4 separate regions of the Mus musculus genome follow, and all the other regions are reported to be linked to region 2. Evidence: microRNA targets listed by miRTarBase, many of them from high-throughput screens and not tested one by one. Region 2 holds a microRNA gene; each other region holds the end of a gene's coding sequence.
The links. Region 2 holds the annotated microRNA mmu-miR-15a-5p (UAGCAGCACAUAAUGGUUUGUG, at 914-935, opposite strand). A microRNA usually pairs through its seed, bases 2 to 8, with sites in the 3' UTR of a target mRNA and lowers its output. Matches are read on the target gene's strand: a 7mer-m8 pairs with bases 2 to 8, a 7mer-A1 pairs with bases 2 to 7 and ends in A, and an 8mer does both.

Region 1: the mRNA of Sel1l3 is a reported target of mmu-miR-15a-5p. Seed matches in the 3' UTR shown: 8mer at 1,715-1,722.
Region 3: miRTarBase lists Map9 as a target of mmu-miR-15a-5p. Seed matches in the 3' UTR shown: 7mer-m8 at 1,445-1,451 and 7mer-m8 at 3,124-3,130.
Region 4: the mRNA of Brms1l is a reported target of mmu-miR-15a-5p. Seed matches in the 3' UTR shown: 7mer-m8 at 1,841-1,847.

Annotation. Positions count from the first base shown.
Region 1 is chr5:53,105,466-53,108,649 of GRCm38, forward strand. Sel1l3 (sel-1 suppressor of lin-12-like 3 (C. elegans)) reads right to left here. Exons shown (of 24, transcript NM_172710.3): 24 at 1,618-2,709. The coding sequence ends at 2,570. Among named protein-coding and RNA genes, the nearest start is that of Gm17182, 58 kb to the left of the region's middle.
Region 2 is chr14:61,631,162-61,634,345 of GRCm38, forward strand. It overlaps Mir15a (microRNA 15a), which reads right to left and starts at 949; the gene lies at 866-949. It overlaps Dleu2 (deleted in lymphocytic leukemia, 2), which reads right to left. Exons shown (of 7, transcript NR_028264.1): 4 at 1,276-1,322. Mir16-1 (microRNA 16-1) reads right to left here and starts at 811; the gene lies at 719-811.
Region 3 is chr3:82,390,764-82,393,947 of GRCm38, forward strand. Map9 (microtubule-associated protein 9) reads left to right here. Exons shown (of 14, transcript NM_001081230.1): 14 at 365-3,184. The coding sequence ends at 487. Among named protein-coding and RNA genes, the nearest start is that of Map9, 34 kb to the left of the region's middle.
Region 4 is chr12:55,867,725-55,870,897 of GRCm38, forward strand. Brms1l (breast cancer metastasis-suppressor 1-like) reads left to right here. Exons shown (of 10, transcript NM_001037756.3): 10 at 438-2,012. The coding sequence ends at 555. Among named protein-coding and RNA genes, the nearest start is that of Brms1l, 33 kb to the left of the region's middle.

The DNA.
Region 1 (3,184 bases), not on the chromosome of region 2:
CCCAACACCCCCCTCTCCTTACCCCATGTGCATCTCTCTCCAGGGCACATGCAGATGCCTGGATACGTTCAAACTGTGCAGAAGAACATAGGACATCTCAGAGAAGATACGTATGGTAGTTTGGATGAAAACATGTTCTCCACAGGCTCATATATTTTAAAGACTTAGTCCCCAGCTGGTGATGTTGTTTGGGAGAGTTGTGGAACCTTTCGAAGGCAGTGGCTTACTGGAGGAAGTATGTCACTCATGGTGGGTTTCGAGAGTTTAAGTATGTCACGCAGGGTGGGTTTCGAGAGTTAATAGCCTTGACCTACTTCCAATTTGTTCTCTGTGTATGACTGGAGAGGTGATCTCTCAGCTTCCTGCTCCTGCTACCTGGCACTATGCCCACCCTGCTGTTGTGTCCAAATAGCAATAGCCACAGTGTGGTTCACAGACTCGGGTAATTGAATGCTTGGTCTCCAGTTGGTGGCGCTGTTTGGTGTTGTGGTATAGCATTGCTGAAGGAGGTTATGTCGCTGGGCCAAGCCTTGGGAATTCAAAGCCTCATCTCATTTCCAGCTCACTCTCTCTGGTTCAAGTTTATATTGAAGATGTCTTCTCCCAGCCTCCGTACCTATCACTTACTGTCTTAACTTTCTTCCGTGATGCAGATTCTTATCCCCTGAAACTGTAAGCCAAAATTAACTCTTTCTTCCCTGAGTTGCTCTTGATCATGGTGTTCTTTCACAGAAACAGAAAAGTAACCAATGAAGACAAGACTGGGAAACTGCTCCTACGTCCATGAGCAACGGGACATGGGATATCCTTGCAAGTGTGTGTGACCCACTGGATAGTGCAGCTGTGAGCTGTCAGCAGTCACAGGGAATGGTGCCAGCACATAGGGAATGGGTGTGCTTGCTCTCGACAGAGGTCTGAGGCAGAGCCTAGTGCCTTGTAGAGCTTTTTGTATTTCTTGCCCCAACAGCACGACAGACCTGTACTCAGAGCACTTTCTTGTGGGCTACACACACACACACACACACACACACAGAGAGAGAGACAGAGAGAGAGAGAGAGACAGAGACAGAGAGAGAGACAGAGAGAGAGACAGAGACAGAGACAAACACACAAAATCTCACTTAAGCCTTGTGAGATGCCCAAGAAGTAGATTTTAAAAAAAATTTAAATCCTCATTTCATAGCGCAAGAGTATGAAGCCCAAGGAGGGCTAATCCCAGCATTACTGAGTAAGTTGCAGGACCAGGATTATTAGACCCCGAAGTCTGGCTCGTTTACAAATGGCTGAGATAATTTTTGCTCAAATGAGAACAGTACACATGGGAGAGAGGGGGCAAACTGAAAGGTTAATCTAGAATTCAAGGAAACACTCATTTCAGCCCTGACAGAGTGTGAGGCTGGGCAAACATCACAGATGCAGGCTTCGAATTCTTGGAAGGGAGCTTCCTGCCACCTTCTCTTCCACAGTTGTCAATGGTTAGCAGGACAATCGCTTTCCTGTAGGGTGTTGGTTTGTGTGTTGGGGGTGGGGAGGCTCCTAAGGAGAACACTCTGACCTTAGCACTTTGAATAACGACCACAGTGACAATGAACAAGAAAAGAAGCCACTTCCTGGTAGTCAACTGTAGAAAAATAATTTTATTTACTACTGTAAATAAAGTAGTGCAAAGATAGTTTGAACCCACAGTATTGCGTTACTGATTTATTTACTACTGTAGCAGCATACAGTGCACAGACACTCTGTTCTTTTTTTGTCCTCTTACACACACTCTCTCTCACACACACACACCTATACAGACACAGGCAGGCATAAGGGGTGGTGATGAACCTATGAACTAACAGCTTGTTTTTTGTCTGCGTATTCCATTGCTGCCAGTCTATTCTAATGGTGACTCATGGGGAAGCAGACTACACTTAAACGGTAAAGATTTCCTAGATGTTATTGCATGTGTTATGATGGAAACATAAACGATACCCAATAATGTCATCAAATGATTTGGAAGCACTATGACCTCTAGAAAAATCCACAGGGGGAAAAAATGTAAACCAATGTACAATGTTATCGCCTTCCCTGTGTGTGGAGTGTTTGTCTCAAGGCTCCTTCTAGCTGCTGGATTTGGGACTCAGAGAGCAACCAGCTGGGCTTTTGCGGAGCAGGATGCGGTGGCAAACAGAGGTACTGAAGCATCGTCAGTCAGCCTTGGAGATAAGTTCCTATTCTCTGGTAAAAGGGGATGAAGACAGACTAAAACTTTTAAAAATGACTCTATATGGACGCTCCACATATGGACTGCGGTTCCCAGAACAGTCACCAGGAAGGAAAGTCCAAAGCCTCAGCTCGCCTCCCCCGATTCCCCTGTTTTCCGGGTAACCCTTGAATCTGTTGGATAACTACAGTCTGCTCTGCCTATGTTCTTGTTTAAACATAAACAAAAAGACACCAAGTGCAAAGTTGGCATCCAGTTCACAAGACTTTTAAGGTATTTATCAGTGTAACGCCTGGCACCAGCCTTCCCAAACCAGCTGCTAAAAGGACCGTCTCTCAGCTGGAGAGACCAGGGGCGCACAGTTCACCCACGAGGCTCAGGGCCGTTAGCCATCATGGGTGGGTCGTGGTCGGAGGCATCTGCAGCCGGAGGCACAGCTGGACTTGGGGTGGATGAGGTGGGGTCTGCCGAGACCCAGGCTGGTGCTGGAGAGGAGCCACTGGCTGCGGAGACATAAAAACAGAGTTGAACATTTGAAAGAAGCCCCTGTGGAACACCAAGCCCCACCCAGTAAGCAGGAGGAGGTGCTCCTTGGCTGGTGGCCCAAAGTCTAGGTAAATAGACAACCTTGGACCATTATCTAGGTTCTTTGGACTTTTGTGTTCCCTTCTATAAAATACCAGGTTGGAATAGCTCTGTAAAGATCCCTGATGGTTCTCATGTCCTACAGTTCTAAGCCACTGCGTGTCTTCCAGGATTTCCAGGCAAATGGTTGCTGTGATCACTTTGATAAGTTTTGTGAGCTATGATCCTATTCCCTCCCCCTGACCCATGATGTCAATATAATACAACCATGAGTAGTGTCAAACAGTCAGAGGAGGGCTAGTTTTATTTACATTCTTATCCCATTTGGATTGTGTGTCAAATTCAGCCCAAGTTATTTTATTTAAATAATTGTACAAAACAACTGAAAAAAAA
Region 2 (3,184 bases):
GAATTTGGGAGGCGGAGGCAAGAGGATCTCAGTGAGTTTCATGGCAGCCTGGTCTACATGGTGAGACCCAGGCTCAAAAGACCAAACCAAAAAACTTATTTCTTGGACAAAAACTGCATTAGTACTGAATTGTACAGTTTTTTTCTCATCATTAAGAGAATAACTTGAATAATACAACTATCCATGTTAACATCCCACTGCACTACACATTAAAAACAATGTAGAGATAAGTTTAAATAAGTATAAGGGAGGATATGCACTGGTCACGAGCAGACATTTTATACAGGAGATCCAAGCATTTACAAATCTGGGTATCTAGAAGTCCTATAATCAGTTCCTCACACAGAAGTCATTATGTTTTGTTTGTTTTTAAAAGACAGATCCTTACATAGGTCTTAGACTTGCTTTATGGCCAAGGATGATGTTAAGCCTCTAATTCTCTTTTTTCCACTTCCTCAGATCTAGGATTACAAGTGTACCTGGTATGCAGTGGTAAGGCTAAAACCCATGGCCTTGTGCATGCTAGCAAGAAGCACTTGGCCAACTGAGCTGCATTACCATCCCACAATTATATAGTATTTTAACAGACACAATATGTAGAGCGTTGTTACTAACATCATTACAGAATCATACCAAACATAAAATCACTAATGCAATTAGAAAAACCGTGTAAACACACAAGTAACATCAATACACATTGAATTACAGTTGTAGAGTATTGCCAACCTTACTTCAGCAGCACAGTCAATACTGGAGGTAATTTCAGAATCTTAACGCCAATATTTACGTGCTGCTAAGGCACCGCTGACATTGCTATCATAGGAGCTATGAATAAAAAGACAGGTACTCTCTTCAGAAGATCAGGTCCTTGTATTTTGAGGCAGCACAGTATGGCCTGCACCTTTTCAACATCCACAAACCATTATGTGCTGCTACTTTACTCCAAGGGTTGGTTTTGAAAACTCCTAGCACCTCAATAGTAATTTACAGAAAAGGCTTTTTAGGAAAAAGTAGAACACATAAAATCTATGTTTGAAAAAAATCTAACACTGGTATGTGCATAATTTTATAGGCTTTCAGCAGAATAAAAAGTATTTCCATATCATAAGTTTAATAAAAGCGTACAGAAAACTTAATACAGTGCTGTAATTTATTGTAGTCATGAAACGAGAAAAGCAAGTCATTTTCCCATACCAACTTAAGAACCTCATTTATTAAACTAACAACTTTTGAATGTGCTTAACACATGAAATAGCTACAAAAGTTGGTTTTTACCTTATTAAGAGCAGCACATCTTTCAAAGCCAAATCCATAGGACAAAGCTTCATGTTAAAGGAAACATGTAAGAACAAACATGTAAGAGCTCAGTTTCAAGAAATTTATACTAGCAAAATATTTAGAAGACATACACATGAAACATATTCCCCAAAAATATATAACCCCCAATCTACACATGAACACAAGATTTATCTCAATATTGGAATAGTTATTGTGAGTTCAGTGTCATTTATTATTACCCAGAACATCATCTTAGGATAACAGGTCTATTTGGTTTCCTAAAAGGATATATCAGAAATCCTGTAGCTCAAGCCTAAGTAACCATTTGTGTGTTTCCCAGTTAAAAAGGCTAGTCCTTTAAAGGAGTATCATTTTATACCACAGGACTTTGACTTAGCTGAAACAAAATTTTTACTACGTTAAGTTCCAACTTCATTTTATGTGTGTGTGAATATCTAGGTTTTCTTACACTATTAAGAAGACTCTTTTCTGTTTAGTGGGGGACTTAGCCATCCCTTCACAAAGAACTGTTCTTATTATTCCAGTTCATACCAGATTTTCCATTCAAACTAGATTACTGTGTAGCAAATGTTTTCTAGTGGGTCAATGCCATTTCTCCATTCCCGTTCATGTTGGGTCATTTGAAATATCAAAACGTCTTTAAATCTTCAAACCTTTGCTTTCAAGTGTGCCAGCTTAAAAAAAAAAAGTCTGAAAATAAAGATAAAAGCTGCTAAAAGTGATTTTGTCCTTTATCTTTATACAATGATTATAATTTCAAATTCAGTGGTTTTTTGAGAGAGGTTTTGAGGACAGTGGCTGCTGTCCTGCAATTCATTCTATAGACCAGGCTGGACTGGAACTCAGAGATCTATCTGCCTGGTTTCCCTCCTGCATGCTAGGATTAAAGGCGTGCACCATCATGCCCCGTTCCAAATTCAGTGGTTTATATTCTGGCCTAAGGACCAAAATAATTTTTCTTTGTTGGGTTTTTACATAGTTCAACTTTTTACTAATGTTCTTAAAAGGAAAAAAAAGCCATTCTGAAAAGAAAACAAAATGTTTTGCTTAAGAAGGTAACTTGAGTGTACATAGGAATACATGGCAATCTTTAAATACCTGAAATTAATATTATTCGTATAAGAAAACAGAATTTTACAACAATTTAAGAAGATAGATCAAACCAAATTGTCCTATTTCCCCCTTCAACTCTATTTGTTTCCATTAATATTTTTCTTTAGAAACATTTACTTTTTACCTTATAAAACTTCTAATATTAATTCATCTTGTTTCCATAAAGCTTAGCACTTCACAAACATTTATAGGCATGTTGCCCAAGCTATATCATCATCTTGACTGCATCAGAATAATGGGATACTTTTTGAATTTAATAATAAGCAACCAGTAATTTGTTGGAGCACAATGACAGAATACAGAATCTGAGGTCCGAACCCTGACACTGTCCTTTGAGTGTCTCCCATGGCTGTTATTCTAGTACACTGACCCTTTCTGGTTCCCTATCTGCAAATGAACCATTAACATACATATAAGCCTTTGTAGGACGCTTCTGAACCATAGCCATCTTATGAAGTTGTCTAAGAACATGGAGAAAACACTACCAGGTTTAAGTTCTGATGACAGAGCAACAATTCTCAGGGCACAAAAAATCTACTTAAATAGCAAAGCTAAAGGCATGAAATACTGCAACAAATTTGGGAAGTTAAAAGCTGGGTATGTTAATATCTTTGATGTGGCAATAATGCCACTATAAAATCTTTGGAACTGTTTCTTCTCTAAACATTTTAAATTCCTAGTTCTAAAATTTGATATGTGAAAAGTGACAGAATCATTTGTAGGGCATACTACTAAATAGTTAAAAATTCCATTTCCATGTGATTTTTTTCTA
Region 3 (3,184 bases), not on the chromosome of region 2:
AAGCCAGGCATGATGCTGGTTCACTCCTTTAATCCCAGCAGTTGGGAAGCGGGGAGCTGGAGGGTTAGAAGTCCAGGGTCCTCCTTGACTGTGTAGTGATTTGGTGCTAGACCATGCTTGATGAGAGTCTCTCTCAAAAGACAAACAAGATGATGTGACATTCATATAGATTCATAGTAAATCCGTATATAATCATGCAAATCAGCAATATTCCCTAGCTGCTTGTTTATCACTAACTAAACAACTAATTGTATACGGGGATCTTAAAATGAATTATTTTCTTCTAATAATCCGATTTAATAGCAAGTTCACGTAGTATATATAAACTTAGAGTTTTCTGTTGTCCACCCCCCCCCCCTTTTAGGAAAAGAAAGAAAGGCAAGAAAGAATTGAACGGAAACAGAAGAAGCGCCACTCCTTCCTTGAGAGCGAGACACACCCACCATGGAGTCCTCCGAGCAGAACTGCGCCCTCAAAAGTATTTTGATGTTTCTGGTTCTTGATTTTTTTTTCAGTTCACCAACTGTACTCATGGATTTAAAACGAGTCATCTCATTATTTGTGGTTAGAAGACTCTATGTCACTTCCCTGCAGGAGCTTCTGTGGAGCATGAAAGAGATACTTTGCAGTTTAATCAGTGGAAACATTTTCTGAAGTGTCCTCATCAGTTTGCTGGGACAATCCAGACGCATGAAGCTTTATTATGACCTGAACAGTCTGGTGTGGGGTGATTCGTGGTCACTGTCGCTGAGTTCGGAGTCTTTTTAAAGAATGTTTGATCCCACTAATGAAAGAATGCCAGCTAGATACCACAATCGTAGAGATGACTCGGTCTGTGGAAGTCTGTGCTTCTAGAGTGTAGTTTGGGCATTGAAGGTCCCTGGAGACCATGGGCATGTTATCTCTTCTAACTCCAGTTCTTCAGGTCACAGAAGTATCTTTGCTGTGCAAGTTATCGACTCAGTCAGTTGAGGCCACAGAACTCTAGTCAGTCACTTTAGTAAAGAACTTTGCCATAGGGTTTAATCTCGGTGTGGTTTGCCTTCTTGAGGCTTACCTGACAATCGTAGCCACCTCTATAATGGGCTCACTTCTGGAATGTTCTTTCTAAAGCCCATCTCAATATCTTTATTATTTGATTGACACCAAAATCAGTTTGATGGTAGTGTTTTCTTATAGAGTAGTTGTGAAAACTTCAAGGTGACTATCAAAGTTTTTCTAGACTAAAGTTATAAAGGTAATGAAAATAACTCCCATTTTCTTAACTAATTAAGACTGGTTCAACCTGCATATGGAAGCGGTTGAATGAGAAAGTAAATTTGTAAAAATATTCAAGATTGTTTATTTATTTATTATTTATTTATTTATTTGACCTTTACTTCTCCCTGTATCAACTGGTCCTATACTTGACTGGCCATCTCTTAAAACAGACAAATTGTTGGGATGCTGCTGTAGGCAATCATGCAATGCAGAGACAATCAATGGAAAACCTAGTTGCTATGGTTCTCTTAGCTCTTATGTCATCTCTGCTGGACCTTTATAGATGCGATTTGTCAACTTTGTTGGAGCTGTTCAGGGTAGCTATTACTAGCTTTATTGTGCAGATAAAAAGACTGGGACTTAGGAAGTCCAAACTAACTTGCCATTCAGCTAACATGTGAGTGGTGGGGACCAGAACTTCACATCTCCCTTGAAGCCTATGTGACCTCAGAGACTGTGACCTTGCAAATGCTTGTCACTCCCAAGGGTGTAAAGTCAGGCAATGTTGGTTGGACATGCCCATTTTCTTACATCTATAAAATGAAATAAGGATTCATGGGATTTAAGGTATTCATCACATATCTAATAAATACCAACAAAGCCAGCAGCTTGTGTTAAGACCCACTAAGCAGTATTGAATCGTGGGATGTGCACAAAACAGGATGTCATGAGCTGCTTCGCAGCATCACGGAGCAGATGGACTCACATACAAGACTGCCAGAAGTGGTCACTGAAAGCATTATCAGCAGTGTGCTGTCTGTCTGGGATTCAGGACTCACATTTGTGTGGTTTCCTACAACTGCAAACAATCAAGCCTGCGAGAATAGAGTGATAAGGGAATCTTGAAGTAAATTGGAAGCGATAAAAAAAAAATGTTTGCACATTGTAAGGAACTCAAAGGAAGATGAGACAAAGGTGTAGCTGCTTCTAGGGATCAGAAACCACCAGGTGTGCACTTCCACTCCCGGACAACTTTCTACAGTGTTGTGTTTGTTACCGCTGTTAGCGCCTAACTAAATCATGTCGAATGGCCGATTTAAGTCATCTAAAGTATTTGGGACATAAGGACTTAGTAAACATTCATTGTTATCATTTATTTACTACATCTCCCCACCACGGACATGTGGGATGAGTAGAACAGTAGTCACTTGGCCTACATTTGTGGCATACAGAAAAACTCAGTCTGCTGGTCCATCTCTGACTTACCTGTCACCGGCAAGCACTGCCTGAGACAGGACCCTCTGAGAAGACAACTCCATACTGCTTTCTTGAGATCGCCTCTGAAGAGAATGAAGTGACCAATGAAGATGAGCCCAATGGGCCCAAAGCCATTTCCTCAAACGTGATTTAGGATGGGTCTATTTATAGAGCAAGTAATAGTTTTCTCCCCTAAACTTAACCTGTACTCAACCTGTGCGGGATTTATGGTTAAATCAGATTTGACCCTTTCTACTGCAGTGAATGTAGAGCAGAGCTTTGGACAGTGGGTGCGCATCCAGTTCTGGAATGTGGCAGTCTGAATTACAGAGGAAAGAAGCAAGCCTGGTGAGATGGTCCTAATATGTTTGCCTATTTAAGAAATAAGACTTCTTCTGCATTTCCTTCAAAAGTACCAAATATCAATATAGATTTATAAATAATAATAAACAAAACTCTGACGTGAAAGTTAGTTCCATAGTAGCAAAAAGATAGCACACACATTACAAGGAATAAAACGGTTCTTTAGAAGAGTTCAAGTTTCCTTAAGGAAATCTGCCAAGAACAGCTCGGATAACAGTATTCCAGCAGCCTGCGCGTCACACTTGGAGGTGCCGGTTCACTAGTTGGTTTAGGCTGTAAAGATAGCAGCGGGGTTTACTGTTTTGCTGCTGGTTTTACTGACAAAGCACTACCTTGTAGGAGCTTGACAGCTACAGCTGGATGT
Region 4 (3,173 bases), not on the chromosome of region 2:
AAGTGGTAATCTAGACTTATGGTTTATATAATTGTTTATATAGCCTATAAATTATCTTGCTGTGATCTTTTGGAAGTATTAATGAATTACTGCCTTCATCCTTTATGGTAAATTCTTAAGAGTATCAGCTTTCTACAGTAAGAAACACCTTTTTCTCTAGATAACAACATTTGTGTTGATAGCACAGCAACTGGTAAGTAAACGTGCTGAGCCTACTGTAGCTGATATGAAACCGTGTTTCTAAGCTGGTAATCTGAAGATTAGTATAAACCGGGTGGAGGCAGAGGGAAGGCAAGCTCAGGGCCAACCTGGGCTAGAAGGGCATGTCTTTAAAAATATAAGGAAAAAGAAAAGAGAAATCAACCCCCAGTAATAATAAAATAAATGGAAATGAAATGAGCCGCATTGTAATTCATTCTTTTTATTTTCTTTTTTAGTGCTGTAATTACAACAATTAACCATGATGAAGTTTGGTTTAAGAGGCCTGATGGAAGCAAATCTAAGCTTTACATTTCACAGCTACAGAAAGGAAAATACTCAATTAAACATTCGTAATCACGCTCTAAGTGTTCCCCACATCTACCTTGTTAGTGTTACCAAGTGTAATGTGCCATGGAAGCCAAGAGAATGCACTCAGCAGCTTAATAATTTCATCCAGTCATGAGAGACTGTGTCTTCTAGGTAGTACTCCAAGTAGACCCCACATTAGTAAGTCATTAAGAGAAATAGTGATAAACTCTAATCATGACCATCGCGTTTATTTGCCTCGCAGGTCCCGTGCCAACAGGTCTGTTTGGTATGTATTTCTTTCTCAGTGTTGCTTCATTCTGTGTCTTACTCACGTGAGTGTGTCTCACCTCTAATGGACTACCGTGCAGTCGCCTGCAGTTTTAAATCCCCGCCTCCGCTGCCACTCTTGTGTTTGTACAGATGGAAGACTTCCTATGAATGATTTCTATTAGTGCATTCGTTTCAATCAGAACTGAAATTTATACATACATGTGTGAGTGCGTCTATACAGTGTCCCCAGCAGGCTTAGAACTGATGGCCTACCTGTACAACCTCCTTTTACCCCAAATTCAACTGCTGGGTTTTCGAAGAAAAGGGAGCACTTTTCTAGACTGCTTTTCCTTCTCTTCTTCCTGGATGGCGGTGACCTCTTTTGCAGATCATATTTGGTGTTTATTAGTAGCAGTGTGTCAAGTGTGACCATGTTGCTGCCTGTGTTTCTTCTGAGCTTTTAGAGGGGCAGGTATCCTGCCTGGTGTTTATGATGCGCAGTGCCAGAGTGACAAGTGGCTGGCAGTATTGTCGTGCTTTCTGCACATCTGAACTTTTGAAGATTTTACTAAGCATTATCTAGAGGCAAAACTAGATCCTTATTCTAATTTTATTGCTAGAGTGGAATACATATAGATACTTCCCTTAACTCTACCATCCCCCAAATTAGCTTTTTTTTTTAAGTGTTTTTAACACTTTAAGGCCATTTGGTGCAATTTAGAAAATGTTGGCCTCCCTTCCCTTAGCCATATTCAGAATGAACTTGGAAGCCTCTGGAACTGTGCAGGAAACCGGAGCCCTCAGCCCGGAGGCACAGTGGGCTACAGTGTGTACGCAGGGTACAGCCAAATGAAGTGCTCTGCTGGTCTCATGCACTTTAATTTCTGTTACAGTGTATTTAAGAGGATGAGGAAGACTCACTCAACACTCCTCAAAGGAGTCTCTGCATGATTCCGTTAGTTCCTTATGACTTCACCTCTGCAGACATTCCCTGCAGGTATACTCCACAGTTGCCAAATTGTAACCATCTGACTTTCGAAGTTCAGTATCAGCAACATTGTGCTGCTCTGTTCTGTTTCTGATCACCCTTAGCGGCTGTGCAGACTGTCCCAATCCAGTAGCATTTGGCAGTGCTTATAAATATATATATATATATGATGTTTGATAAGCATTTTTAATGAGATTTGTATTTTTAAATTTAGTATGTAATAAAAAGAAGTGTTTGAGCGTCATTTGTAGTGTTGTGTGTTACTTATTCATACTCAAGTTCAGTTGTTTATACCCAGTCCTCTTGCTTGTGCTGACGTCAGCAGGCCCTCTGTGCTGGGGAAGGGCTTCTGCTCGGCTTCCCATACGTGCACCTCTATGAAGCATATGTAGGTGTTCAAGAAGCTAAGTTATATTTAACTAAAAACACACATGCAGTTGTGTTATACTTTAATAAGTGTACTCTATTTTGAAATTTTAACCAGAAAAAAATTTAAAGATTTATTTCTCACACTTACCATGAAAACTTTAATATCTGTATATGTGCCAGGAGCCTTGGACCAGCCCATGTGTGCTCCTGGTTGGTGGGAGCTCCCTGGAGTCTGGGTTAGTTGAGACTGCTGGTTTTCCTGTGTGGTCACTTTTTGCTTCCGCTTCTGCTTCTTTAATTCTTCCCCTAATTCAACCATTGGAGGAACTTCAATTCAAATGGTTGGCTGTAAGTGTCTGCATCTGTCTCAGTCAGTTGCAGATAGTGCCTCTCAGAGGACAGCCATGCCAGGCTCCTGTCTGTAAGCACATCATAGCATCAGTAATAGTGTCAGGCCTTGGTGCCCTCCACCCACCCCCTGCCCATGAGATGGAGATCAAGTTGGGATGGTCATTGGACCACTTTTCCTTCAGTCTCTTCTCCATTTTTGTCTCTGCAGTTCTTTTAGACTGGAACAATTCTGAGACAGGAATTTTGACTGTGGGTTAGTAACCCAGTCCCTCTACTTGAGGCCCTGTCTATCTATTGGAGGTGGGACTTGTTGAGTGCCCTCTCCCCAATGTTAGGCATTTTGCCTAAGACCCCAGAAGATGGAAAGATCTCCCATGCTCATGGATAGGATTAACATAGTGAAACTGTCTGCCTTACCAAAAGCAATCTACAGGTTCAATGCAATCTCCATCAAAGTTCCAACACAACTCTTCAGGCATGGAAAGAGCAATTCTCAACTTCATATGAAAAACCAAAAAACCCAGGATAGCAAAAAAAGAACTTTAGGGTATTCACCATCCCTGACTTCTAGTTGTACTACAAAGTAATTTGCATGGTATTGGTACAGAGACAGACAGGTTGATGAATGTAATAGAATCAAGGATTCACAAGGAAACCCACACACCTATGGACATTTAATCTTTGA